Linked DNA regions of Oryctolagus cuniculus. The protein of the gene in region 3 purifies or fractionates together with the protein of the main gene of each other region. This does not show direct contact. Links are inferred from orthologs where the notes say so. Each region holds a gene or a part of one and is shown on either strand. Other genes may lie near its edges.

Region 1 (4,235 bases), on a different chromosome or scaffold from region 3:
GCGGCAGCTTTACACGCTGGCCCCACACTCGGGATTTTAAACAGGAGATGGTAGATGGTGGAGTTGCAGCACGCATCCTGGCTGGGAGGGAGACAGCAGGCAGGCAGGCAGGCAGGCCAGCCTGGGGAGCTCAGGAGCCACGCAGAGGGCAGAGGGGGAGGGGAGGGGACAAGGGGAGCAGCTGAGGCACAAAAGCCAGTTCTGCTGGGGGCTGCTCGTTGGGCAGAGCTCCTGGGGCCTGAGGGGAGAGAGAGAGAGAAAGAGAGAGAAGGAGAGAGGGAGAAGGAGAGAGGGAAATAGGGAGAGGGAGAGAGGGAAAGAGAGAGAGAGGAGAGAGAAAGAAGGAGAGGGAAAGAGAGGGAGAGAGAAAGAAGGAGAGAGAGAGAGAGAAGAGAGGGAGGAGAGAGGGAAACAGGGAAGGAGAGAGGGAGAGGGAGAGAGGGAGGGAGGGAGAGAGAGAGAGGGAGGGAGGGAGAGAGAGGGAGAGAGGGAGAGGGAGAGAGGGAGAGAGGGAGGGAGAGGGAGAGAGGAAGAGAGGGAGGGAGAGGAAGAGAGGAAGAGAGGGAGGGAGGGAGAGAGAGGGAGAGAGGGAGAGAGAGAGGAGAGGGAGACAGAGGGAGAGAGAGTGGGTGGGATGCGGGCAGGGGCGGGGACAGGAGGGGCGCCAGGTGGATGGCGGGCTTGGTGCCTGTGCCGGGACAGCAGGCCTGCAGTGGCGTGGGTTAGAAGGCTTCAGGTTCAGGAGGATGGGTCCGGACCCCAGCTCTGTCACTTGGTGACAAGGGCTAACACCCCGGGCCTCAACGTCCTCCTCTGTAAAATGGGTCGCCGTGCACTCAGGATTCGGCAGGAATGGCCAGCACTCCCTGAGCAGACATACACGTTAGGTGCTTTTGCGAGTACCGACCCCAGGTCCCTCAGCTCCGGCGCAGCTCGTCGGGGTCTCGACCCTTCCTCCCGGAGAACGGGGGTGGGGTGGGGGGCGAGGCTCCAGAGGACCGGGCCTGGCTCGAAGCCGCCGCCAGTGTCGCCGCGCCCCCTGGCGGCTGTCGGTTGCCATGTCAACGGCGGGCGGCCGGGGCCGGGGGCGGCGGCGGCGGCGGCGGCGGGGGTGGTTCTCGCTCCCTGGGCGCCTCTTGCCTCCGCCTTTGGGGGAGCGCTCGGAGCCGAGGAGGCGGGGGCCCCGCGCGGCAGCCGGCAGTGGGGGTAAACTGAGGCACGCGGCAGGGCGCCCCGCAGCCAGGTGTGGAGCGCGGGGCCCCACCTCCGAAGACAGAGGAGGGGCCGCGGGCGGTGACGCGCCGAGGGCGGCCGGCCGACAGCGAGCGGGCGGGCGGGCAGGCGGCGGCGGCGGCGGCGGCGGCGGCAGGTGCGGCCGCGGAGGGTGGGCGGAGGGAGGGGGCGGGCAGAGGGGGAGGGGAGGGCGAGGCCGGGGCGCCTCCCCCTTCATAACGCGCCCCCTCCTGGGCTCTCCGGCCGCCTCCTTGTCGGCTCTCCGCGTCTCGCCCCCTCGCCCGGCAGCCCCGGGCCCGAGCCCCGGCCAGGGAGCCCCCAGGCCGCGGCTCGGGGGCGGCCCCCCCTCGCCCGCCGCCCAGCGCAGCCCGGCGGAGGCGGCGCCGTCGGAGGAGGAGGAGCAGGGCACTGCGGCTGGCCCCGGATCGGGCGCCCGAGCGGCTGCAGCAGCTTCGGCAGCAGCGGCGGCCTGGGCCGATGCAGCGGGACGCACCGCCCCGAGCCCCAGCCCCAGCGCCCCGGCTCCCGGCGCCCCCGATCGGGGCAGCCGCCAGCACGGGCGGCGGCGGCGGCGGGGGCAGCGGCGGCGGCGGCGGCGCCTCTGCAGCTCCGGCTCCCCCTGGCCTCCCGGGAACTACAAGTCCCAGGGGGCCTGGCGGCGGGCGGCGGGCGGAAGAGGCGGGGTCGGCGCCGCGAGGCCGGAAGTGGCCGTGGAAGCGGAAGTGGCGCGGCCGCGGAGGGGCCTGGAGCGCGGCTGCAGGGCCCGGGGCGGGAGCGGCGGCGGCTGCGGCGGGGGGCGGCGGCGGCGGCGGCGGCGGCGCGCTGGAAGCGGCCATGGCAAAGCAGTACGACTCGGTGGAGTGTCCGTTTTGCGATGAAGTGACCAAATACGAGAAGCTGGCTAAGATCGGCCAAGGCACCTTTGGGTAAGGCTAGGCCCCAAGGGGCCGGGAGCTCTGGGCCTGCACCCCTCGGGGCCGACGTCGGGACGTCCGGGGCCCGGCCAGAGGAGGTCGGGCGGCCGCCGACTCCTCGGCTTGTGCCCTGGTCTCGCTAGGCCGCGCGGCGCCGGCGGGCGGGGAGGAGCTTGAGGCCGGTGTTGGGGGGGCGCTAGGAGGGGCTGCAGAGCGGGGCCTGTGAGCGCAGCGATGTTCCGCGAGCCTCCGGGGAGAGAAGGGGCCGGGGGGTGCACGCCGGGGCCCGGAGGGAGCCTGCAGGTGCCGGGCGGCAGGGGCGCGGCTCGCGCGGCCCGGGCCCCGGCCCCACCCGGAGCCGCCCCTCCTGTCGCGGGGGAGGGGCGGGCGGGCGCTGCGGAACCCGGCGGGTGAGCTCTAGGGTCTCCCTGTCGGCCTGCAGGGAGGTGTTTAAGGCCAAGCACCGCCAGACTGGCCAGAAGGTGGCTCTGAAGAAAGTGCTGATGGAGAACGAGAAGGAGGGGGTGAGTACGGGCCTGGCGGCCGGGCTGCCCCGCGCTGGGCTCCGTGCGTCCCCGGGCGGCCGGGCTGCGCGCTGCCCCGCGCCGGGCTCCGTGCGTCCCCGGGCAGTCCCGGGCTGAGATCGAGTTTGTGGTGGCCTCGGAAATGCTGCGAGGCATCTGGCCCGGGCTCAGCCTGGTTCTCTCCTGGAACGGCGGCTGGGCCGGTGGGGAGCTCACGCCTGCCCTGGCGTCCGCGCAGAGCGTTCGGAAGCCTTTCAGCCTCTGAGTTTCCATCTTGTTTAATTGGAAGGGAAAACGCGCACGTGGTTCTTCAAAGGGATTTTGACGCGGGGCGGGCGGCTGACAGCGCTGCCCCCCCAGGCAGCCCCCACCCTGCTCGCCGCCGGGCCTCGCAGCTCGACACTGTGAGGTGTTTCCGCCGATGGCTGTCCCCGGTCCTGGGCTCAGACCGGCTCCTGAGATGGGCCCGCTGCTCTCACCCCTGTGCTCCAGCCATGGCGCCCACCCCCCACTCACGGTCCCCCTGCCCCCGTCCCCCCAGTTCCCCATCACGGCCCCCCTGCTCACCGCTCCTCCCCCCCCGTTCCCCATCACAGCCCTGCCATGGGCCCTCTGCTCACGGCTCCCCCCCCCCCGTTCCCCATCATGCCCCCCCTGCTCATGGTTCCCCTCCCCCCCAGTTCCCCATCACGGCCCCCCCTGCTCACGGCTCCCCTCCCCTCCCTCCCCTCCCCCAGTTCCCCATCACGGCCCCCCTGCTCACGGCTCCCCTCCCCTCCCCCAGTTCCCCATCACGGCCCCCCTGCTCACGGCCCCCCTCCCCTCCCCCAGTTCCCCATCACGGCCCCCCTGCTCACGGCTCCCCTCCCCCAGTTCCCCATCACGGCCCCCCTGCTCACGCCCCCCTCCCCTCCCCCAGTTCCCCATCACGGCCCCCCTGCTCACGGCCCCCCTCCCCTCCCCTCCCCCAGTTCCCCATCACGGCCCCCCTGCTCACGGCCCCCCTCCCCTCCCCTCCCCCAGTTCCCCATCACGGCCCTGCGGGAGATCAAGATCCTGCAGCTGCTGAAGCACGAGAACGTGGTGAACCTGATCGAGATCTGCCGGACCAAAGGTGCGGGCGGCCGGGGGCCAGGGCCCTGCCTGCTCGGCCGGCCGGCCTGAGCGGGCGCGGGGGGGCGGGGGTGTCCTGACCCCTCTCTCCCTCAGCCTCTCCCTATAACCGCTGCAAGGGCAGCATCTACCTGGTGTTCGACTTCTGCGAGCACGACCTCGCGGGGCTGCTCAGCAACGTCTTGGTCAAGTTCACGCTGTCTGAGATCAAGAGGGTGATGCAGATGCTGCTCAACGGGCTCTACTACATCCACAGGAACAAGGTGGGCGGGGCGGGGGAGGGGCGGGGCCGCGGGGGGGCCGGGGGCGGGGCCGGGGGGGCCGCTGAGCGCCCTCTACTACATCCACAGGAACAAGGTGGGCGGGGCGGGGGAGGGGCGGGGCCGCGGGGGGGCCGGGGGCGGGGCCGGGGGGGCCGCTGAGCGCCCTCTACTACATCCACAGGAACAAG
Region 2 (3,645 bases), on a different chromosome or scaffold from region 3:
CTTTCCTCCGGGGTGCTGGTTCACTCCCCAGATGGCCACAATGGCCAGAGCTGCACCGATCCAAAGTCAGGAGCCAGGAGATTGTTCCAGGTCTCCCATGTGGGTGCAAGGGCCCAAAGACTTGGGCCATCTTCTGCTTTCCCAGGCCACAGCAGAGAGCTGGACTGGAAGAGGAGCAGCCAGGACTAGAACAGGCACCCATATGGGATCCCAGTACCGCAGGCGGAGGGTTAACTTGCACCGTGGCGCCAGCCCCAATTGGCTAGCTTTCTAAAATACCATCTTGTTTAGCATTCACCAGAGCCCTGTGGTTAAAGGCCAGAGTTCTAGATCCTTGGTTTTTGGTTTTTGGTTTTGTGAGAGAGAGACAGAGAGAAAGGTCTTCCTTTACCATTGGTTCACTCTCCAATGACCGCTGCGGCCGGTGCACCGCACTGATCCGAAGCCAGGAGCCAGGTGCTTCTCCTGGTCTCCCATGGGGTGCAGGGCCCAAGCACCTGGGCCTTCCTCCACTGCCCTCCCGGGCCACAGCAGAGAGCTGGCCTGGAAGAGGGGCAACCAGGACAGAATCCGGTGCCCCAACCGGGACTAGAACCCGGTGTGCCGGCGCCGCTAGGCGGAGGATTAGCCTATTGAGTGGCTGCACTGGCCGATCCTTGGGTTTGAATCCTGGTCCTGCTAATTTCCAGCTGTTTAATGTTAGGTTTAGGCTCACGTTCTCTTTAGTTCTTCCATCTGTGAAATGGAGATGATTCCACCTACTTCAGACTTGCCGTGAGAGTAGTGTGAGTTGATGTTTCTCAGGAACATAAAGCAGTTCTGAGTGAGTGTCCAACATATGTTTACTGAGCCTTTTAAATGGGTAGTGAGAAAGCAATTCCTTAACTTTGGGAGAAGACGTATCTTCTGCATAATATATAGGGAGGTCTTTTCTGACACAATGGCTGTAACACTGGTCTTTCAGATTGATCCAGCTGATGGAGGAAATCATGGCTGAAAAGGAAAACAAAACAATCATATTTGTGGAGACAAAGAGACGCTGTGATGACCTCACTCGGAGGATGCGCAGAGATGGGTGAGTGCAGCACCGGGTTTTGAGTGGGGATTTGTGGTCAGTGTTGCAGAGGTCTCACCTTAACGCTGGCGTGCGGCTTACTCTTCGATGAAGGCTGTTTCTAGGAGTCTTAGGAGTTCATCAGAATTATGGGCAGCGTTTCTTTTTATATATAGCTTAGTTTTGTTTATTTTAAAGCCTTCTGAAACATTGGTCACTTTTCTTTTCATAGGTGGCCAGCTATGTGTATCCATGGGGACAAGAGTCAACCAGAAAGAGACTGGGTTCTTAATGGTAAGTCCAGAACTGAGCATTTTTCCATGGGCTTTTTTTTCCTTAATCTGTTGAGGACCAGCTAGTAGACATTTTGTCTCTGCAGGCTGAGTAGTGGTTTCTCACAGCTGGGTATCTGCTAACACCTCATGGGCGGGCCGTCTGGCACAGTGGTGCGGAAGCTGCTGCACCCCACATCTGCGCGCCTGGGCTCAAGTCCCGGCTCCATGCCGCGTTACAGCCTTCTGCTCACGGATGCTCTGGAGGGCAGCAGAGGATGGCCCGAGTAGGCGGCTCCCTGCCCCCGCTAGGAGACCTGGCCTGAGTCTGGCTGCTGCCCCCAGCTAGGAGACCCGACCTGAGTCTGGCTGCTGGCCTCAGCCTGACCCAGCCTTGGCGTTTGGAGGCATTTGGAGCATTAGCAGTGGGAAATCTTTTAGATTTCCCAGACACAAACACACTACACTTGGGACATAACTTCTAGGGGAAATAATACTTGGGCTTACGTTGGTTTTTGTTGCTAACGGACATAGATTGTCATTTATTAGTAGAAGTTACTTCCTGGTCTATCGTCCCTCTGCTAAAAAAATGATGAGGATTTTTAACAATCTCATGTAAGAATCTGCCATTTTAGGATGTGCCACTTAACCTTGACAGAACTTCTTTTTGCTCCCCACAGAGTTCCGTTCTGGAAAGGCTCCCATCCTCATTGCCACAGATGTAGCCTCCCGTGGGCTAGGTTTGTATAGATAGGTGTCTCTGACAGTGGTATATGTACCTTTTTTGTTTAAATATTCATCATTTCAAATTTAGAGTTGTATGTACATACGTTTAGATAAATATTTAAAAGAGTTAAAAGCAAGATTTTTCCCTTCCCCCCACGATTTTTTTTAAAACCTTGTTTTTGTTTTTTCTTTCATTTTCAAAGTCTCTTCCTGCTCCTAACAAACAGGCTTTGGTCTGCAGCAAGGCCTAGGCATGACTATTCAGTTAGGGGGAGAGGAGATACACAGTTGGACAGCTCAGCTTCTTCCTGGTTTTCCTGTTTCCTGGCTGGGTACAGTGATCCTGATCGAACCTAGGTAGCTATTACGAGCTAGTTTGAGTTAACTTTTTTTCAATACCAGTCTATCAATGCTAGATAGATAAATAGATTTGAACATAGAGGCCTAGTTCCCAAATGAGATTAAATAGATTTATGATACAATATCATTCAGCAATTACATCTTTATTGCCCGATTTTCCTTAAAATATTCATGGGCATTGTATCCCCTCCTCCCCCCCATTCTCATATCATGGATGTGTTTCCTAATTTGAGCCTCATATGAAGTGTTCTTTGAAGTTTGAGACCCACTCTGGCTTAAGATCTATGCAGACAGCTTGTGGCGTGTTACCCATCATTACAAGATAATCAGTAGATCTGACTCACAACTTTTCTATTTAAAAAGTGAGATTATTTCTCTGACCAAGAAATCTTTAAATTGTTGGGCATTTAGTGTCTTGCCCAGTAAGGTGAGAAGTACTGTATTCCCTTATGCTGTTGAGTAGAAGCCAGTATTCAAGTCAGGGCACAAAATGATGAAGCCTTTGTATCCCTTGAAATGTCCGTCCCCTCCTTCAGAGGTGGTGGCTCGCAGCCATGATGGGAAGTTGTCTCTGCCCTCTGAGGTCATGTCTGGATCTGTGCCGTTAGAACTTGGGCCTGTTGGGAGAGGAGGTGGAGGCCTGAAAGCAGTTTCTATACAAGCTTTCAGTAATGGTGGTTTTTAAACAGGCTTGCTATGTGCTGGTAGCTTCTTTGTGCATCTTGCCTAGACAATTAAAAACATGCTCCATGTTCCCTTGCATATCGAAACCAAATCAATTGGCTACCATTAGAATGACTTAGACTCTTCACCCCACCCCTCGCTCGCGCAGTGAGGGAGAGGGAAGGTCCCTCGAGTCTGTTTCTTGTTACTCATCATCAGTGCTTGTTTCGGGCCCCTTTGTGTGCTGCCTTGTAAAAATCAAAGGAGGGAGAAAACCCACCGCAATGGCAGAACTCTGACCAAGGTCCTACAGGATCCTGGAAAGTGAAGGCTTCTACCTCACAGACAGGGGCGCAGTTTTCAGCTGAGTCACCAGGCCTTTTTTCACTTCCTGTCAAGCGATGGCCTCTTAAATGTCCCTTCAGGTAAGTTCTTTGATTCCCACGATTCTGTGATAGTCATACTTATAACAGGCAATCACGAATCCCTTTCCACTGGGATTTTTTCTTTTTTTGTTTAAACTACACACTGTTAAGCTAAAAATATTGAATTTATTTTGTTTTGTTTTTT
Region 3 (4,377 bases):
GGGGGAGGGGGCGGGAAGGGACTGGGGTGCCCAGACCCTTTGTTTGCTGGTGTGTGAGTGTGAGTGTGAGTGTGTGCGCGCGGCGGTGAGACCCGCCGGGGTGTGAGTCCGTGCGCGCGCGTGCTCGGGCCGTGACGGCCACGGAGGAGCTGGACTGGCGGCTGGAGGGGGGGAGGGGGAAGCGACGGGGACTCCCCCGCCCCCGCCCGCCCACTCGCGGGTTTGAATGAAAAGCGAGGGGGAGGGGCGGCGGAGGGAGGGCGCTTTTGGTCCCGATGGCCACTCCCCCTCCCCAACGGGCCGGGGAATCCCTCCCCACCCCCACCCCCATGGAGCGATTTTTATTCTCTCCAGGGACCCCCCACTATCTACAGAGGCTCTGCGAGGAACTGGGGAGAGGCGTCCCAGACACAGGTGGCCGGAGCTCCTCCAACTCCACTTGACCCTCGCGGAGCACCCCTTAATCTGAGATAATCCTGGCCCGAGGCTGCAACACGGCCTTTTATCCCTGCATCCGAGAGTGGGTGGAGCCGTGGAGCAGCGCGCGGCCCAGCTGCCCCGAGCTCGGGGCAGTGGCATCCTGAAGCCGTTCTGGCCGAGGGGAGGGGTCCCAGCCGAACGGGGAGGGGCGACGAGCAGCCCCAGACCCGGACGACGAGGAAAGCCCCCTACCGCCCCTCCCCAGTCCCCTACTGGGCCGGAGGCCAGCAGCACTGGCCACTAGCTGGACATTTGGCGACACCCAGCGGCCGTGCGTGGGGACGCCACGCAGGGCGCCCGAAAACCTTTTGGGTGATTCCAGAGGGGGGGTGTGCGCGCAAGTCGTCTCTCACGAGTGGCGGGCACCGGGGGCTGTGTGTGGTCCCAGCGCGGGAAACCCTGCCCTACCGTCGACCCCCTCCCCTCCCCGCCACGTAGGACAGGATCTTACCGCCGCTCGCTTAGACCCCTCCACCACGGCAGGGTCTCGACCCCCCCTACTCGAACTGGGGAGTCCCCTCGGGTCTCGTGCCCCTCCCTAGCCCGGAATCCAGTCCCCCACCTTCAGGGGAGCTGGGTGGGGGTGGGGGTGGGTCTTCGAGTCGAGGCCCCGCCCCTGCGGTGGCCTCGGGCTGATGTCACTGCGGCTTGGCCAACGGGACAATCCAGCCCCTCAGTCTCGTCAACTGCCCCAGCGCAAACGCCCCCCGGGGAGGGGGCGGCAGGAGATGAGAGGCGCTCCTGGCTGCCGCGCTGCCCTGTAGGCCCCCCAGGAGGTGCCGGGCAGAGTCTCCCTGCCCAACGAGGCGGGGTCTCGGCGGGAACTCCCTGGCCCCTAACACGTGCGCAGGTCCCTTTAAGGCGGGCTTGGTCGCCAGGGCCGCCGCCGCCGTTACCAGGGATGTGACGTCACGCGCGGGCGGGGGCTGCGCGCGCGGGCGGAAGCGGAAGGGGCGGGGCTCCGCGGGCCGAGTGTCCAGCGCTGCCGCCGCCGCCGCCGCCGCCGCCGCCGCCGCCGCTCGAGCGGGCGCGGGCTGGGCCGTGGAGGCAAGATGGTGGACTACAGCGTGTGGGACCACATCGAAGTGTCCGACGATGAGGACGAGACGCACCCCAACATCGACACGGCCAGCCTCTTCCGCTGGAGGCACCAGGTAGAGCGCGCGTGCCCGGCCCCTGCCCCCTTTCCCGGGACCGCTCCAGAGTTCTGACCGCGGGTACTGCCCAGGGGACCCCGCGGTTGTTGACGCCCGGGATTCCAACCTCACGGTTTGGAGTTTCCCGCCCCTCGATTCCACGCCGGGGCTCGGGGAGCGCTGGGACCCCCACCCCCACCCACCCCCAGTCCCTGCGCGCGACCCCTGGGGCCGCCTTCGGATTCTGCACGGGTCTCTATTAACCCTTGAGACGCCCTCGGTCTGTGTATTCCCAGGGCCACCGGGGGGGGGGGTCCCTCGCCTGTAGGAACCTCTGCCGGCATCTGAGGACACCCCACCCCGCCTCACCCCTGCCCCCAGCCTCATCAACCCTGGGACGGGCAGGTGGTCCCTGCTGGCAACTCAGGGACCCCATGGTCACCACCCCCTCTTTGACGTATTTGCCCACGACAGAGCCCCCAGAGCCAGACCCCAGAATCCTAGCCGTGAGCAGCCCGTGGCTTCCCACCCATCCTCCCGCCCGGAGGTGCTCACCCCGCAGCTCGCACGGAGCGCGCACCTCCCAGAAGCTTCCAGTAGGAATTCCCGTCCCGGGCCTCCCTTCTGGCAGACCTGTATCCAGAAAGCCCTAGAAGGGCCCTGCCCCATCCTTCCGGGATGTGGCCTGGGGCCTGCTTCTGCCTCCCGGGCCCACCCCCAAACCTTTCCTTAAAGCGGCCGTCTCCTGGGGCGTGCACCTGCTGTGCGGGAGTGTGGGAAGAAAGTTCCAGCCCTTCTAGTTCTATTTATTATGAAATATTTAAGACCTCCGCAAGGCTCCCCAGACTATTTCTGTCGCGTAAAGAGGTTAATCTTTACTCTGGCGTGGAGAGCGGGGTGGGGGCCGCCCCATTTCCTGGCCGGCTGCTGTGGAGGAGGGGCGGGGTGCCCGCCCAGCCCCCAGCCCCCTCTCCAGTTTGCGAGGTGGGGGGAGGTTTGTGATCTCTCTGAGCGCTGCAAAGCTGAGCTAACGCGGCGCCCGCTTCTGGAAAGATCCTGGTGCAGAGACTGGGATGGAAAAGTTAGAGGTGGCCTGGTGGCTGCCACTCTGGGTTCCCGGAGAGGTGGGCGTTTGCCCGCCGCCCTGGGCTCTGCACCCACTGCCGGCTCCGGTTCCCACTGCCCTTCCCACTGCCCCGGGAGGCAGCAGGGACGCCTCAGGGCCCTGGGCCCCCGCCACCCACGTGGCGGACTTGCTTTGAGTTCCTGGCTCCCGGCTTCAGCCTGGCCCAGCCCCAGCCCTTGTGGGCATTTGACGTGATGATGGACTAGCAGCTGGGAACTCTGTCTCTGCCTCTGAACTTTAAAAGATGGAGGCCGGCGCCGCGGCTCACTAGGCTAATCATCCGCTTGCTGCGCCGGTACCCCAGGTTCTAGTCCCGGTCGTGGCGCCGGATTTTGTCCCGGTTGCCCCTCTTCCAGGCCAGCTCTCTGCTGTGGCCCGGGAGTGCAGTGGAGGATGGCCCAAGTGCTTGGGCCCTGCACCCACATGGGAGACCAAGAGAAGCACCTGGCTCCTGGTTTCGGATCAGCGCGGTGCGCTGGCCGCAGTGGCCATTGGGGGATGAACCAACGGCAAAGGAAGACCTTTCTCTCTGTCTCTCTCTCACTGTCCACTCTGCCTGTCAAAAAAAAAAAAAAAAGAAAAAGAAAAGTGATATTGCTTATTTTGTTGCCAAAAATTTGTAACCAGGAATAGTCCTTTCGAGGCACTGGTTTTCTGTGAACTTTTTGAATCCAACTTATATGCCTGAATTTCAGACTTTTTGCACCCCGCTAAAGTTGCCTTTTGAAAGATTTATTTACTTTGCTGAGCCAATTTTTTGGTGAAGACTTATTTAATTTTAAAGATTATCCATTTCTTCTTTTAAGTTTTTTAATTTAAGATTTAGTTTATTTGAAAGGCAGAGTTACAGAAGGAAAAGGAGAGATGGAGCCGGTTTGCTCCACAAATGGCTGCAAGAGCCAGGGCTGGGCTGATCTGAAGCCAGGAGCCAGGAGCTTCCTCCAGGTCTCCCACGCGGGTGCAGGGGCCCAAGGGCTTGGGCCATCTTGCACTGCTCTCCCAGGCCACAGCAGAGAGCTGGATCAGAGTGGAGCAGCCGGGACTCGAACTGGTACCCATAAAGGTGCTGGCGCTTCAGGCCAGGGCTTTAACCACAGCACCAGCCCCAAAAGTTATCTTTTATAATGTCATTTCTCCATGAAATTTTTTTTAAAGATTTTATTTATTTATTTGACAGGTAGAGTTACAGACAGTAAGACAGAGAGAAAGGTCTTCCATCCGTTGGTTCAACCGCCAAACGGCCACAATGGCCGGAGCTGCACCGATCCGAAGCCAGGAGCCATGTGCCCCCTCCTGGTCTCCCGTGCGGGTGCAGGACCCAAGCACTTGGGCCATCCTCCATGAATTTTTGAAGCAGCATTCCAGGCGTGGCCAGTTGGGTTGGATTCAGCTCCTGGATTATTGGCACGCCAGCCAGCCGCTCGCTAGCTCTGGATCCAAGCGTATGCCCGGGACCCAACCCGTGGGGGTCGATGCCAGGGTTTCCTGATTTATGGATTTTTAAAGACGTGTTTATTGGAAAGGCAGAGTTGACAGAGGAGGAGAGAGTCCATGTGCTGGTTCCTTCCCTAAATGGCTGTGACAGCAGGGCTGCTCCAGCTCTGCCCTCTGGCTTTCCTGATGCGCGGCCAGAGC
Region 4 (4,415 bases), about 3.9 Mb from region 3:
CCCCATCCAGCTCTCTGCTGTGGCCTGGGAAAAGCAGTAGAAGATGGCCCAAGTGTTTGGGCCCCTGCACCCTTGTGGGAGGGAGACCCAGAAGAAGCTCTTGGATCCTGGCTTCAGCCTGGCCTGGTGCTAGCTGTTGCGGCCAACTGGGGAGTGAACCAGCAGATGGAAAACCTCTCTCTCTCTCTTTCTCTCTCTCAGACTCTCCCCCTCTCTCTATGATTCGTGACTTTGAAATAGATAGGTGAATCTTTTTTAAAAATTTATTTATTTATTTGAAAGACAGTTACAGAGAGGTAGAAATGGAGAGATATTCCATCTGCTGATTCACTCCCCAAATGGCTGCAATGGCCAGAGCTGCACTGATCCAAAGCCAGGAGCCAAGAGCTTCTTCCAGGTCTCCCACATGAGTGCAGGAGCCCAAGGACTTGGGCCATCTTCCACTGCTTTCCCAGGCCATAGCAGAGAGAGGGATCAGAAGAGGAGCATTCAGGACTAGAACCGGTGCCCATATGGGGTGCTGGTGCCACAGGCCAGGGCTTCAACCCGCTGCACCACAACGCTGGCCCCCAGATACATAAATCTTAAAAAAAAAAAAAAAAAAAAAGATGCCAACCAGAGCTCCTGCATCCCACATGGGAGCGTCTGGGCTCACTCGTGGTTCCTCTGCTGCCCTTCCAGTTCCGTGCTAATGAGCATCCTGGGACACAACAGGTGATGCTTGGGTCCCTGCCAACCACGTGGGAGACCTGGATGGAGTCCCTGGCTCCAGGCTTTGGCTTGGCCCAACCTTGGCTATCGCAGGCATTTAAGGAGTGAACCATTGAATGAAAGTTCTCTCTCTCTCTCTCTCTCTCTCTCTCTCTCTGTGCTTTTCAAATAAAATGAAATCAATAAAAAAAAATTTTTAAAGCCAGAAACCAGGTCTGTTGAGGAGCCAAATACCGGGACTGTTTAGGAACAGGCAGAACCCGGTTCTGGTCCTGGTCGCCAGCCCAGGCTGGGAGGGAGGGAAGCCAAGGAAAAGGGAATTTCAAGTTTATCGGCAAGTTCAGCGGCAAGGGTGACACCAGGGGCAGGAAGGGCAGGACCCTCTCCAGGGGAGTGGACGTGGCTCGCACTGTCCCCTCCCCGCTGGCTGAGGAGGGCGTGCCACTCTTGCACTTGTGCTAAACAGCACCAAGCCTGCCGAACTTTGCACGACCCAGCCTGCGAGACGGGAGGCCAGGTTTATATCTGCTGGGAACAGGGGCGGGGCCACCTCGAGGGGCGGGGCTTTGTCTCGCCCCGCCCCTTCCCGGAGCTCCGCGTTCCGCTGCGGTAACCTGTGGACCCGGCAACGGACAGGGCTCGCAGCCTGCCAGATCCTAGAAGACAGTGAGCGGGAAGTCGTGATTGGTTCTCCCCGAGGGGGTGGGCGGGCCCTCCGCCTGCCCAGTGCCCTCGCCGCGGGGAGGCGTTGCCGGGAGAGGCGGGGGGGGGGGGTCTGAGAGGGAAGGGGCGTGGCCGCACGCGGGCGGCCGTTGGCAGCCCGGCCCCGCCCCGGATGGGGGCGTCACGGGGCCGAGGCCGCGGCGATTGGCCGGCGCGGCGCGGGGGGCGGGGCGGAAGGTTCTGGAGGGGGCTGGCGGGCTCTGGAAGCTTCCGCCGGACGGGTATATAGAGTCGGGCCGGGCGGCGGCGGCGGAGCCGGGTACGGCGGGGCCGCGGGCGGGCGCCATGGGCAAGGATTACTACCAGACGCTGGGCCTGGCCCGCGGCGCGTCGGACGAGGAGGTGAAGCGGGCCTACCGCCGCCAGGCGCTGCGGTACCACCCGGACAAGAACAAGGAGCCCGGCGCCGAGGAGCGGTTCAAGGAGATCGCCGAGGCCTACGACGTGCTGAGCGACCCGCGCAAGCGCGAGATCTTCGACCGCTACGGGGAGGAGGGTGCGTGCGCGCGGCCGCGGCGCGCGGGGAAACCGAGGCACGCGCGCCGCCGGCCGGGGGTGGGGGGCTGCTGAGAGGGCCCCCGGCGGGCGGAGGAGGAGCCCCGGCTCGCCGCTCGCGCAGAAGCTTCCAGCACGTCCGGGCGGCCCCTCCCTGGGTCTGCACCCGGTGCGGGCCGGGGCGGGGGGCGCGGCGGGGGGCGGCCGGGTCTCGGCCTGCCCAGCTGCCCGTCGGTGACTCACCGGCTTCCGGGCTCGGTCCTGAGCCAGTAGAGTGTGTTTTTTTTTTTTCCGATCATCAGGGCAGCGGCGATTGGTGCTGGGACGGGAGAGCTTCAGAAAGCTTCCGGGGTGTCTTTGGTTGGCCTGCATTTGCCCACGTTCTCTCTGGGCTCAGGGGACGTGGCCGCCGCTCTTCCCCCCTCTCCCCCACCCCGGGTCATGTCTGGGTCTCTTGGTGGATTCTTGGGAGGATCAGCCGGGAGCAGGCAGGGGCCGGGCCTTGGTGGCTGTCACCTGCGGGCCGAGGCCCCCAGTGTCTGCAGCGGCAGGTGCAAGCTTGGGGTCCGGCCCTCGGCGGGCTGAGAGCAATCCCGCCCCGCCCCCTCACGTCCCTGCGTTTTTGCTTCGCAGGCCTGAAGGGCGGCGGCCCCTGCGGGGGCAGCGGCGGCGGGGCCAACGGGACGTCCTTCAGCTACACGTTCCATGGCGACCCGCACGCCATGTTTGCCGAGTTCTTCGGAGGCCGGAACCCCTTTGACACGTTCTTTGGGCAGCGGAACGGGGAAGAGGGCATGGACATCGACGACCCGTTCGCCGGCTTCCCCATGGGCGTGGGCGGCTTCACCAACATGAACTTCGGCCGCTCGCGCCCGGCCCAGGAGCCCACCCGCAAGAAGCAAGACCCGCCCGTCACGCACGACCTCAGGGTCTCCCTGGAAGAGATCTACAGCGGCTGCACCAAGAAGATGAAGATCTCCCACAAGCGGCTGAACCCCGACGGCAAGAGCATCCGGAACGAAGACAAGATCCTGACGATCGAGGTGAAGCGGGGCTGGAAAGAGGGCACCAAGATCACCTTCCCCAAGGAGGGGGACCAGACCTCCAGCAACATCCCCGCCGACATCGTGTTCGTGCTCAAGGACAAGCCACACAACATCTTCAAGAGAGACGGCTCGGACGTCATCTACCCGGCCCGCGTCAGCCTGCGGGAGGTGAGGCCGCGGGGGTGGGGAGCCGTGGGGGTGCGCTGGGGGCGGGCGGGGCTCCCCAGGCTCTCGCGGCTGACCGCTGTCCTACCCCCCCCCACCCCCGCCCAGGCCCTGTGCGGCTGCACGGTGAACGTGCCGACTCTGGACGGCCGCAGCATCCCCGTTGTCTTCAAAGACGTCATCAGGCCCGGCATGCGGCGGAAGGTGCCGGGCGAAGGCCTGCCCCTCCCCAAGACGCCGGAGAAGCGCGGGGACCTCATCATCGAATTTGAGGTGGTCTTCCCCGAAAGGATCCCCCAGACGTCGAGAACCGTCCTGGAGCAGGTTCTGCCCATCTAGCGCCCCCACACACCCACCCACCCACCGCCCCCGCATCATCCGGGCGCCGCCGGCCCCAGGGACCTCGCCAGAGCTCAGCGTCTCCGGCTACCCCGGCACTCGTGGACCGTGAGAGGGCGGGAGGGCCCGGGAGCCTGATCCTGCTCTATGTTTTCCAGAGAATATATTACAATCTTTGAAAGTCGTGCACTCGACTGTGCTGGTTTTTCGGGCGGCGGAGCGGCAGGTGGTGGGCAGAGCAGGACGAGGCCCGCCCCGCCCCACGCTCCTCCAGACACCTCCCCCCCCCCGCACCTGCAGCTGGGTCCTGTGCTTTGTCTCCCCTGCTCCATGCCTCCCCCCACCCCCACCCCCCGGCTCATCCTGGCCATCTCAGGTGGAGAAAGCTAGACTCTGCAGAACTGCCCGGCCGGCGCCCACAAGCAATACCTTCCTCTTTCCAGCGGGACCACGGGAGCCCGGGAGCTCACGGAGACGGGGCCCAGCCGTGCTTTGCCGAGAGCGAGCTCTGGGCAGCTCCGGGTGCCCTTTCTGTTCCATGGACTCTGGACTTTGTTTTGTTTCGTTTCGTTTTGTTTCTCTCTCAAAGGGATCTGATCCTTCGGAATTTTGCACAACCCTGGAGAGATGTATAGAGACATAGCTATAATCCCTTTTGATAAAAGGGTCTTTGCTCCCGATTGCAGGAGCCTGTAAATGTTTTTATAACTCCCCGTCAGGCCGGGGTGCCCCCAGACGGGCCCTGCCCTGCCCCCATGGCCCCGGGCGGAGGCGGGGTCTATTCCCGGGACACCCGTCTGGTGCTCAGCCCCTTGAGACTCATTGTACGTTGCCACTGCCGACATGAGACCAAAGTGTGTGTGACTTGTCGCTGTGCAGGGTGATGGCATTAAAGACTGTATGAGAAACCTCCCGGGAGCGGCCCTCGGCTCGTGT
Region 5 (2,183 bases), on a different chromosome or scaffold from region 3:
TTGTCTGACTGCCTGTCCCCGCCCTCCCAGATCATGGAGGAGCTGGCAGATGCCCTGCGCTACTGCCACGAGAAGAAAGTGATTCACAGGGACATCAAGCCGGAGAACCTGCTCCTGGGGCTGCAGGGGGAGCTGAAGATCGCGGATTTCGGCTGGTCTGTGCACGCGCCCTCCCTGCGGTACGTGGCGCTGGGAAGCCGGCCCTGGCAGGCGGCACCTCTGGGCAATCCCGGTAGGAAAGTAGGAGACGCATAGTTCTGACCCCAGGTGCTTCCCACCCTTCTTTTTTTTTTTTTTTTTTTTTTTTTTACGGGCAGGGTGGACAGTGAGAGACAGAGAGAAAGGTCTTCCTTTGCCGTTGGTTCACCCTCCAATGGCCGCCGCGGCCGGCACGCTGCAGCCGGTGCACCGCGCTGATCCGAAGCCAGGAGCCCAGTACTTCTGGTCTCCCATGGGGTGCAGGGCCCAAGCACTTGGGCCATCCTCCACTGTACTCCCTGGCCACAGCAGAGAGCTAGCCTGGAAGAGGGGCAACCGGGACAGAATCTGGCACCCCGACCGGGACTAGAACCCGGATGTGCCGGCGTCACAGGCGGAGGATAAGCCTAGTGAGCCGCGGCGCCGGCCCACCCTTCATTTCTAATGCCAGTGGAGAAGCACCCCGAGCTACTTAAGCAGAACCCGCTTGGCGGGCATGAGAGAGGCCTCCAGGGTTTCTTCCCCACGTCAGCACTGCCCTCCTGCCTTATCTGTTTTAGTCCCCCAGTGGAAGTACTGGGGGGCAATGTGGAGGCCACCGGCCCACCCCATCCCCAGAGGCGTGACCTGGATGGAGCACTCCCCTGCTGCCTCCCAGGGTCTCTTGGCTGCCTGGGGGGGAGAGGGTGGATGAGCATGGTTGCCTGGTCCCAGGACCCCTGGCATGCCCTTCATCCCACAGGAGGAAGACGATGTGTGGCACCCTAGACTACCTGCCCCCCGAGATGATTGAGGGGCGCACGCACAATGAGAAGGTGGACTTGTGGTGCATCGGGGTGCTCTGCTACGAGCTGCTGGTGGGGAACCCGCCCTTTGAGAGCGCATCACACAACGAGACATACCGGCGCATCGTCAAGGTGGGTCACGCTGCCGGCGCTCCAGGCTGCAGAGGCCAGGGGCTGGGGAGGGCAGGGTTGGACGCGCGGGTCTTTGTGGCCACTGGGGTGGAACACAGGCGGTTTCTGCTCCTTTCTCCCCTCCTGCAGGTGGACCTGAAGTTCCCCGCCTCTGTGCCCGCGGGGGCCCAGGACCTTATCTCCAAGCTGCTCAGGCACAACCCCTCCGATCGGCTGACCTTGGCCCAGGTCTCAGCCCACCCTTGGGTCCGGGCCCACTCTCGCCGGGTGCTGCCTCCCTCGGCCATGCAGTCTGTCGCCTGATGGACCCTGTCATTCACTCAGTGTTGTGTGTGTGTGTGTGTGTGTGTGTGTGTTTGTGTGTGTAGGGGGAAGGAGGGAGTCTGGCCTGTTCCCTTATCTGTCTTCTACCTCCTTTTTAATAAAAGCCGAGGCTTTTGTACATTGAGTGTAGATGTCTCTGGGTGGAGGCGACGGTTCCCTGTGGGTAGGAGAGGTTGCCTGCCCCAGCTGGTGCAAGGGATACTGGGTCACTTCCCCCGGTAAGAGCTCGCCCTCCCAGATCCCAGCCACCGTCACCCCCCCGGCCATTTCTTTCCCCTGCTCAGACTCAGAGCCCCAGAGCCTGGGGGTGTTGGGAGACCTCAGATGCCCTCACTGTGCTCAAACACCACCCACCTCTCCCGCCAGTCGATTGTCTGACCTCTGGTTTTTCTCTCTCCTGGTTATTCTGTTCCCCTTTGCCCACCGACCTAGGAGTGACTGAACGTGGCTATGCCCTAGAAGTTGTTCGTTTTACTCCTCTGGCCAAGATGGAAGGGGAGGGGACGGACGAGCAGTGATGGGGTCTTGTTACTGATGTTAGGTCTCACTGTTACGTATGATGCTTGCTGGCCTTGATGGATATTTTTTTTAAGATTTTTAAAAAATATTTTTGAAAGAGTACAGAGAGAGAGAGAAGATCTTCCATCTGCTGGCTCACTCCCCAGATGGCCACAGCGACCAGGGCTGGGCCAGGCTGCAGCCAGCAGTGTCTGTCTCCCATGTGGGTGGTAGGGGCCCAAATAT
Region 6 (4,396 bases), on a different chromosome or scaffold from region 3:
TGACTAAATGGATATATACACACTCGGCACCGCTTTTCCAATAGTACATTTCTTCCCATCTCCTTATCAGAACACAAACACATCGGCCTGCGATGGCATCGTGGGCGGCAGAACACGTTGCAGGTCTTCCTCAAGCTCCATCTTGCTTGACATCAAGGCAGATCGCTGTTTCATGAATTCCTGCTTCATCATGAAAGACAGAACAAATTCACACTCCAGGAGGGTGGCAAGTCTAGCTTCCTTCCAAAACTAGCACTGTGACCTTGGACGAGCTCTTCACCTCGCCCTGTCCATTTGTACATGGGGATCACAATGGTGCCTATTCTTCACAAAGTCATCCGGAGAATTCAATGAAGGAAGGAGGCTTGGCCTCTGGCATGCACTCCAAGAATGCTAACCACGGCTTCTCCTCCCGCCTCTGCACGGCACAGGTGGTAATCACGTGGCTCTGCTGAGCCTCTTCGGGTTCCTCCCAGTTGCTGGGCTGCTAAACAAGGAACCCAAGCAGGATAGGAGGCGGAGGCGGGACACCCAAAGCTGTAACTCTGACGTTTCTCGAGGGTTTAAAGTGGAAGAATAAAGGTTTTTCTAAAGCATTTCATAGTGTCTCAAGGCCAGGAGAGCCAATGAGGACGTGGAGTACAATTCTGGATGGGTAAACTGTTACAGGACTAAATGTCTAAGCAATTTAAATAATAAAAAAAATCTACTCTTGATGAAATTATGGCACTGTTAACACTGTTTTGTGCTTCAGCCAGCGTGAGACAAGTTTTTGCTTTGTTACTAAACTACACCACCACCAGTTTTACTGAGAAAATGCATTATTTTTTTTTTTAAAGATTTAGTTATTTATTTGAAAGTCAGTTACACAGAGAGGAGAGGCAGAGAGAGAGAGAGAGGTCTTCCATCCGATGGTTCACTCCCCAGATGACTGCAACAGCCAGAGCTGTGCCTATCTGAAGCCAGGAGCCAGGAGCTTCTTCCAAATCTCCCACGCAGGTGCAGGGGCCCAAGCACTTGGGCCATCTTCTACTGCATTCCCAGGCCATAGCAGAGAGCTGGATGGGAAGAGTAGCAGCTAGGTCTCGAACCGGCAGCCATATGGTGCTTCAGGCCAGAGCATGAACTTGCTGCGCCACAGCGCCAGCCCCAGAAAATGTATTACTGCTCAAAGTTAGATTTAGATGCACATTGGCTCGCTGTACTGGCAAAACTGTAATCTAGGCCTAAGTACAAGGCCTTGCCTCCCCCGGTGGGAACCAGTGAAATAACAGTACGGTAGGACGCTGTGTTGCTGGTGGTGAATTAACACTCCACATCCATTTCTAAACCCTTGTCTATGTTTTCATTCCACGGAAGAGCCTACTTGTCTCCAGGCCTCTCACGGCTAAGACTCGGTGAGACTGCTCCAGCGATGAGAAACAGGAAGTCAGTGGGGCCGCCTCCTTCCTCAGAGCTACTATCTCGTTCACTGGTGCTTGTGGCCAGACTCAGCATTCCAGTTGTCTGGTTATCAGCGTTATCATAATCTAGAGCCTCTGGCCCGGATGCAGCAGTCAAGTGACTGGGCACCAGCTGAAGAACAGAGGCACTTAAAGGGCTCAAGCAGTGGAAGCCGCAGCAGTTTGCTGACCTCTGGGTCATGTGGTGTGCCCTTGAACCTGACATCCAGTAGCAGGCCCCTATCTTCTGCATCCTACAATTTTGTAAGTACCCAGTTTCCTGCTTTAAATCCCTTTCTGTCTGAATTATCTAGAATGGGTTCTGTTTCCTACTAAGAATCATACTGTGTGGATGTCAAGAAAAATGAAGATTTATATGAATTTTGGGACAAAATTCAGATATAAAATTAACATCAAAATGAAAAGAGAATAGTATGTATTCTTTCATTGGTATAAGGACACAGCCATTTACATGTTTGATTGTTTATACATACACAAATTGAAGGTCACATATGAAAATACAGTCAGTAATCGCTTCTGGGAAAGCAAAAATGGGGTCTGGGATAGAAAAGTTTTATATTTCATTTATAGACCCCTTAAATTGTTGACTTTTTTTTTACCATGCTCATGAAATACATTTTTTCAATTAAAATTTCTTTAGTTGCAAGAAAACAGCACACTTCTGTAACAAATTGAAAATAGAAGATATCCATCAAACCACCAATCTAAGATATCATTTGCATTTTTATATATCCTTTCTAAACCTTTGTTGATTCTTACAGTGGAATATGTAGGCATCACCTTATAGTCTGCTTATTGTTCTGATGACCTATAACTGACCTGACCTTTAGAACATGCTTATCATGTGCCAGGAATATCATTCTTTGAATGATATTCCATTGAAATTAAGATGTTTTTGATTTTAAGAGGCATCATTAGCTTGTGTCTCATTAAGAAAGAACTTGAGAAAAAAAAAAACCCTGCCTACTAAACTATAACACAAACAACATGATGATTTTTTTTCCAACTGAACCACGTATCTCTGGAAGTGAAGCAATTCTGTCTCCAGTCAACAGGAGGTTTCTGACACTTTGGTGCCTGACACCTGAGTGATGGTTCTGCACAAGGCTTGCATTGGTCATATCAGCCTCTCATTGCTTTTGTCTACTACAAGCTGTTTCAGCTTCTCTTGACATTGGCTGCTGTATGATAAGCTTGTGTCTTAGTCACAGCTTCCTCTCTGTGGTTGCTTCACATGAACATGTAGAATTGCAGTCTCTCCTGCAAAGATAAATGCTTGCCTTGCCAAATATCGAACTTAAGACCTCCTGCTCTATTTCTGTGCTTTTATCCATACAGAATAACTTTTGTTTCCATGGTGGATCATAATAAAGTTGTTAAGGCATTTTAAAATGACAAATTCAAATTATGTAGTAATTTATGTACTAATACAATGTATGTGAGAACCACATGAACAGTGATGGTCAGATATATATACATATATATACACATATATACACATACATACACATATGCATATATACACATATATATCCCTTTCTATAAGAAACCATCAATTTTAAGTAATAGTACAGTATCAGAGAAGTTAAAATGTGGAAATGGGATGAGAGTTTGGTGCAACACTTAGGACTTTGAGAGCTTGTTTGGAGGTTCTGGCAGGGGAGTGCAGCTACTTGTAAACCCTTGACTGAAGACCGGTCCTCCTTTAGCGGGTAAGGTCGTCCTCTTTGACCAAGGGCGCAACTTCAGGAGAGACGCACATGGAGCAGTGAGGGAGGAAGGGGACAGTCGCCTAGCCAGCCAGATCAGCCGAATCAACCCTGGTGATCAATGGGGTGACAGATGTTGCAGCCAGATCGCCCTCACATCCAGCAGTTAGGACTTTGTATGGGACAGCGGCATCACATATGGAGATTCCTGGGTTCGAATCCTGGCTCCACTTGCCATTCCAGCTTCCTGTTAATATATACCTTGGGAGGCAGCAGATGATGTCTTAAGTGCTTGAATTCCTGCCACGCTTGTTGGAGACTTGGATTAAATTCCTGGCTCCCAACTTCAGCCTGGCCTAGCCTTGCCTCTTGCCATCATTTGAGGAGTGAATCATCAGTTAGAAGATCTTTCTCTGTCTCTCTGCCTTTCAAATTAATATATTATATATATGTATATGTATATATATATATACACCAACATACATATATATGGGAAAACATGTTCCTTAGAATAGATGAAATACAAGTATAGTATTAGCCATTTGAACCTCAAATAACCTTTAACTCCATTTTATTATTCCTTAGATAAGAAAATCAAGAAGCAAAGAGATTATCAAGGTGCATAGTTACTAAAAAAGCAGGTCTTTTAAAATGCATTCAGTTTCTAGTGCCTACAGTAAGCTTAACTATTAAGCTATGCTGTCTCCTTGTTTTGCTAAAACTTTTCCTTTATTACTACATAATAGTCATAATTATAGAAGCTTAATTCCGTCAGAACAAACCAGAATCTAATTAACCATTATCAAACATTAGATATTATATTGGTTCCAATTTTTCTGTTGTAAATTTTACAGCAATTAACATAACAACACATATGGCTTTTCAGAACCCAAAGGGATGTATTTTAATTTTTTAGTTCAAAAACAGTACTCATTCTAGAGAATCTGGAAAATACATAAATCTTAAATGTGCAAACAAGACTATGATAATGTCATTACATTACTAACATGTTGATGAGTTCCTCTTGAATTTTTGCCATACATCTCTTCATACAGTTGAGATTATAATGGAAATGCCTTCCTCTATCCTACTTTATTCACTTGGAATATTAGTTTCTTGCAGCTGCTATAACAATTAGCACAAACTGTGAGTCGTCAAACTACAGAAATGGATTGTCGCAAAATTCTAGAGGCCAGAGAATGAAATCATGGTGTGGGCAAGGCC
Region 7 (3,645 bases), about 24 Mb from region 3:
TTCCGATCCAGCTCTCTGCTATGGCCTGGGAAAGCAGTAGAGGATGGCTCAAGTGCTTGGGCCCCTGTACCCATGTGTGGGAGACCCGAGACCCGGAAAAAGCTCCTGGCTCCTGGCTTTGGATTGATGCAGCTCCAACCATTACAGCAATTTGAAGAATGAACCAGCAGATGGAAGACCTCTCTCTCTATCTCATTCTCTCTGCCTCCTCCTTTCTCTGTATAAGTCTGACTTTCAAATAAATCTTTTTTAAAAATGATTATGGCATATCCCAGGGAAGAAAATCGTACAGCCATTAAAAATCACATGGCGTAAAAAACATTCCATGGGAGAATTTCGTTGAAGAGCAAAATATTCACAATGAATTTAAAAGCGACACAAAATAATGATAAAGAATAATAACAATTTTTATTAAAATATTTAAACATATACATATAATACATGTAATCTTTTTAAGACAGAGTAGAAAAAAAATTGTTATTTAACATGAAGTTTGTGTTCTGAGCAGTGGGATTTTGAATGATTTTTCTTTTTACTCTAGATTTCCAAAAACTTAAGAACTTCTGTATTAAACATGTATATACATGTTTATCAATTTTACAACTAAGAAGGCAGTATGTGCTTATATAAATACACAAATAACAATGTACACATGTTCTTATTTTACACTGTAGTTAGGGCTTTTTATAAATTTTGATGGACCTTTTTATTAATTAATTAGTTCGGGTTTTTAAAGTTTTTTACTTCTAATTGGTTGCTTCCATTCTCTGAATACTGCAGCATGAACCAGGCAGGTGTATTCTCCATTCTGTTTTAAATGGGTGATGCTTTGTGTATAGGAAGCTAAAGATGAAGAGCCAGCGTGACATTACTTTAGGTTAGTCATGCTGCTTAAAACCAGCGCTTACAAGTTGTGCGCATGTGGTTCCAATAAAGACGCGTTTGCCGCCGCAGAAGAGCACTTTCTTTAGAGTGCCGGGCTTCATTTTCACACACTGTGTGTTCACTGCAGGTCGTTTCACTCGCAGTGGGGCTCGAGTCTCCAGGGCCGTCCCTCCCCAGAGTGGTTTCCTCCACAGCTTTTACCTTTGGAAACTGACAAACCAGGCCCTCCCAGTTCAGAGTATCCAGTAAAGAGGACCTCCTGGGTCACTGCTCGCTCCCTCCTAGTACTCGGTTCACACTGACCTTCCCTCTCCCCCAGCAATAATTACCATCTGTTGAAAAGTTTGTGCCGGAAATGCATCCCCATTTTGCATACATTACTTCCATTTAAACGTGGCGTTCTGGAAAGCAAACGATATTTTTACCATTTTACAGATGGAAAAATTAAGGCTTTGATTTTGAACAAGTGAGGAGGTGAAGACAGAACTCCCAGCTCTAAAGGAGGAACCCAAGCCGTAAAACCACACACGAAGGCATTGTTCTTCCCTGAGGGCCATCCCAGCCCCTTCCGGTTCAGAACTCCATGATTCTGCCTTTTTGTTTTTTCTAGCCTTCATGGGAACAGAATAGTTCCTCCTCCCTTTTACACACTGTTTAGATAATTATCAACCCCAGATTTCAGAGGATCATGGTATCGTGGCTAATGTCTTAAGTTCCTACTTTGACATACCGATTCTGAGTTTTAAATCTTGTATCTAATTTTATTAGTCGTAAAATTTAGATCTAGTATTGGTATATTTTCTGAATGTCCCTGCCCACTGCACTGGTTAGTAATGATAGCAGTCATCTGTCACGTATTGAATGCTTACTGCTGTGCTAAACACCTCACACCCATTAATCTGAAGAAGTAAGTTTTGTTACTTTGCCCTTTTACGAATGGGAAAACAGATGAAAAGGTTTGCCTCATTTTACATGTTTGGACGAATTAACCTGTTCTGCTTTTGTGTATGTTTCTTGACTTGTAAAATGGAAGTAATGGTGTTACTTACCTCACTATTGTGGTATGGTTTAAGTGAGTTACTACACAGAAGCTGTTTCGAATAGTGCTTGGCACATAGTGACTGCTTAGTATCAAGCACTCTTGTTATTATAGTTACCACAGGTTAAGTTACCATTCACTGGATTTTGGTTGCTGAACTAAATGTGAAACAGTAGGGTCCCCTCTCACCACCTCCTGCTGCCCCTCCCCAGCGTTAACACAGACACCGAGTTAGCATGGGTCCTTCCAGAATGTTTCCTCTGCTATCTAGAACTATTCTTAATTGTCCATTCATTAATAAAATGTAGGTCAAGAGCTAAGTTTTTTGTAGTGTTCTTGAGACTGGAAGAGGGGAGAGGTGGGGAGGGAGACAGATTCATTTGCTAATATTTACCGACTGCCTACTGTATGCCCAGCACTCAGCAAGGTGCTGAGAATTCAATGTCAGATATGGCACAGGCTAGATTTCCAACTCGAACATTCATCTTCTCATTTGGTTTTCCTCTAGGATATGATGTTTCAGCTCCTGCGAGGTCTGGACTTTCTTCATTCTCACCGAGTAGTGCATCGCGATCTAAAACCACAGAACATTCTGGTGACCAGCAGTGGACAAATAAAACTGGCTGACTTCGGCCTTGCGCGCATCTACAGTTTTCAGATGGCTCTTACTTCAGTGGTGAGTGAGCACGCCATCCTTTCCTTAAACTCACGTTTCCCTTTGAGTGACAAGCAGCTCCCCTCCTGTGCCCCTAATGTTATTGCCCGTGGTTGGCTGGTTGGTGAACAGAATGTCTTTGCACTTTTTTATATAGCAGTGAGTGGGAAGAAGGCATTCAGCTTCCAGCTACAGACACATCCGGACTGAGCTTGTGGACAGGCCCCATTGCAGAAATAGCTGTTGCATCTTAGCCACTAGAAAGGAATCGGTTACAAGTTTCCAAATGCTTTTTGCCATAACCACTGTTTTCAGAACAGTGTCTGTAATGCCTGAGGAACGCATGGCTCAAGGGCAGGGCAGGGGGAACACCAGGAGCATGAACCTGTCTGTGGGATCCTGGTGCAAGAACCTGCTCAAGGGCCTACACAGATGTGTTACAGCCTTGCTCTGAAGCTTTGATGCCAACCATGAAGGAAAACTTAAATTTACGGTGAACTTGGATGACCCCCTAAACACATAGCACCACCCTGCTGGGTGAAGCTTTCTTCCAAGACAGAACAGAAACAGGGCCAAGGGCCCAGTTTTGGCAAAGAATGATAGTTATGATATCCTGTTCTTTGTCTCATAATAGCTGTTGACTTCAGTAAGCTTCTGTTTCTCCTTATAGTTTATTGTTTCTGAGATGAATTTTTATGCTGTGCTGCACCCAAACTATCAAAAAAGCAACCTAGAAACAGGTGTGAATAACCCTTCTTGGCGAAAGACCTGTTCTACGTGTGGTGCACGCATGCATGGCTCCAAAGAGCCAAAGAAGGTCCCTTTGCCAGGCTGGGTCCCTTTTTTCAGGTAGGAGGTTGATGCAAAAAATCCCTTTGATGTGATGACAGCTACAGAAACGTAGCCCTGGAAGATGTTAAATTAGGCGTGAAGAGAAAGAACCCATAGAAGCCAGCTCTGGCGTTGAAGTGGTCCTCAAATCTGAGGGAGCACTGCCTCAGATGGGGGCCCTTGTTGAGGAAAAGGTCTCTATGGTCATCACAGTGACTTGGGGGATGGGGTGGCT

What was found.
Region 1: the proteins of CDC37 (region 3) and CDK9 purify together in Homo sapiens (affinity purification with mass spectrometry; 9 studies listed by BioGRID and IntAct, counting the BioPlex papers as one, with this or other methods). This does not show direct contact. The link is inferred for Oryctolagus cuniculus from reciprocal best matches to the Homo sapiens genes CDC37 and CDK9.
Region 2: the proteins of CDC37 (region 3) and DDX17 purify together in Homo sapiens (affinity purification with mass spectrometry; 3 studies listed by BioGRID and IntAct, with this or other methods). This does not show direct contact. The link is inferred for Oryctolagus cuniculus from reciprocal best matches to the Homo sapiens genes CDC37 and DDX17.
Region 4: the proteins of CDC37 (region 3) and DNAJB1 purify together in Homo sapiens (affinity purification with mass spectrometry; 3 studies listed by BioGRID and IntAct, with this or other methods). This does not show direct contact. The link is inferred for Oryctolagus cuniculus from reciprocal best matches to the Homo sapiens genes CDC37 and DNAJB1.
Region 5: the proteins of CDC37 (region 3) and AURKB purify together in Homo sapiens (affinity purification with mass spectrometry; 7 studies listed by BioGRID and IntAct, counting the BioPlex papers as one, with this or other methods). This does not show direct contact. The link is inferred for Oryctolagus cuniculus from reciprocal best matches to the Homo sapiens genes CDC37 and AURKB.
Region 6: the proteins of CDC37 (region 3) and FER purify together in Homo sapiens (affinity purification with mass spectrometry; 3 studies listed by BioGRID and IntAct, with this or other methods). This does not show direct contact. The link is inferred for Oryctolagus cuniculus from reciprocal best matches to the Homo sapiens genes CDC37 and FER.
Region 7: the proteins of CDC37 (region 3) and CDK6 purify together in Homo sapiens (affinity purification with western blotting; 5 studies listed by BioGRID and IntAct, with this or other methods). This does not show direct contact. The link is inferred for Oryctolagus cuniculus from reciprocal best matches to the Homo sapiens genes CDC37 and CDK6.

What each region holds. Positions count from the first base shown.
Region 1 is NC_091432.1:231,217,669-231,221,903, forward strand, and holds the start of CDK9 (cyclin-dependent kinase 9), read left to right. Parts: upstream 1-1,426; 5' UTR 1,427-1,710; coding exon 1,711-2,159; intron 2,160-2,589; coding exon 2,590-2,671; intron 2,672-3,694; coding exon 3,695-3,785; intron 3,786-3,880; coding exon 3,881-4,047; intron 4,048-4,235. UniProt on the Homo sapiens protein: Protein kinase involved in the regulation of transcription.
Region 2 is NC_091442.1:115,134,223-115,137,867, reverse strand, and holds part of DDX17 (probable ATP-dependent RNA helicase DDX17), read left to right. Parts: intron 1-964; coding exon 965-1,075; intron 1,076-1,286; coding exon 1,287-1,348; intron 1,349-2,006; coding exon 2,007-2,066; intron 2,067-3,645. UniProt on the Homo sapiens protein: As an RNA helicase, unwinds RNA and alters RNA structures through ATP binding and hydrolysis.
Region 3 is NC_091447.1:67,013,940-67,018,316, forward strand, and holds the start of CDC37 (hsp90 co-chaperone Cdc37), read left to right. Parts: upstream 1-1,433; 5' UTR 1,434-1,532; coding exon 1,533-1,634; intron 1,635-4,377. UniProt on the Homo sapiens protein: Co-chaperone that binds to numerous kinases and promotes their interaction with the Hsp90 complex, resulting in stabilization and promotion of their activity. Inhibits HSP90AA1 ATPase activity.
Region 4 is NC_091447.1:63,137,023-63,141,437, reverse strand, and holds DNAJB1 (dnaJ homolog subfamily B member 1), read left to right. Parts: upstream 1-1,611; 5' UTR 1,612-1,719; coding exon 1,720-1,930; intron 1,931-2,562; coding exon 2,563-3,143; intron 3,144-3,248; coding exon 3,249-3,479; 3' UTR 3,480-4,392; downstream 4,393-4,415. UniProt on the Homo sapiens protein: Interacts with HSP70 and can stimulate its ATPase activity. Stimulates the association between HSC70 and HIP. Negatively regulates heat shock-induced HSF1 transcriptional activity during the attenuation and recovery phase period of the heat shock response.
Region 5 is NC_091448.1:52,686,519-52,688,701, reverse strand, and holds the end of AURKB (aurora kinase B), read left to right. Parts: intron 1-30; coding exon 31-179; intron 180-940; coding exon 941-1,115; intron 1,116-1,244; coding exon 1,245-1,418; 3' UTR 1,419-1,557; downstream 1,558-2,183. UniProt on the Homo sapiens protein: Serine/threonine-protein kinase component of the chromosomal passenger complex (CPC), a complex that acts as a key regulator of mitosis.
Region 6 is NC_091445.1:31,372,922-31,377,317, forward strand, and holds the start of FER (tyrosine-protein kinase Fer), read left to right. Parts: upstream 1-1,587; 5' UTR 1,588-1,706; intron 1,707-4,396. UniProt on the Homo sapiens protein: Tyrosine-protein kinase that acts downstream of cell surface receptors for growth factors and plays a role in the regulation of the actin cytoskeleton, microtubule assembly, lamellipodia formation, cell adhesion, cell migration and chemotaxis.
Region 7 is NC_091447.1:43,060,710-43,064,354, forward strand, and holds part of CDK6 (cyclin-dependent kinase 6), read left to right. Parts: intron 1-2,432; coding exon 2,433-2,600; intron 2,601-3,645. UniProt on the Homo sapiens protein: Serine/threonine-protein kinase involved in the control of the cell cycle and differentiation; promotes G1/S transition. Phosphorylates pRB/RB1 and NPM1.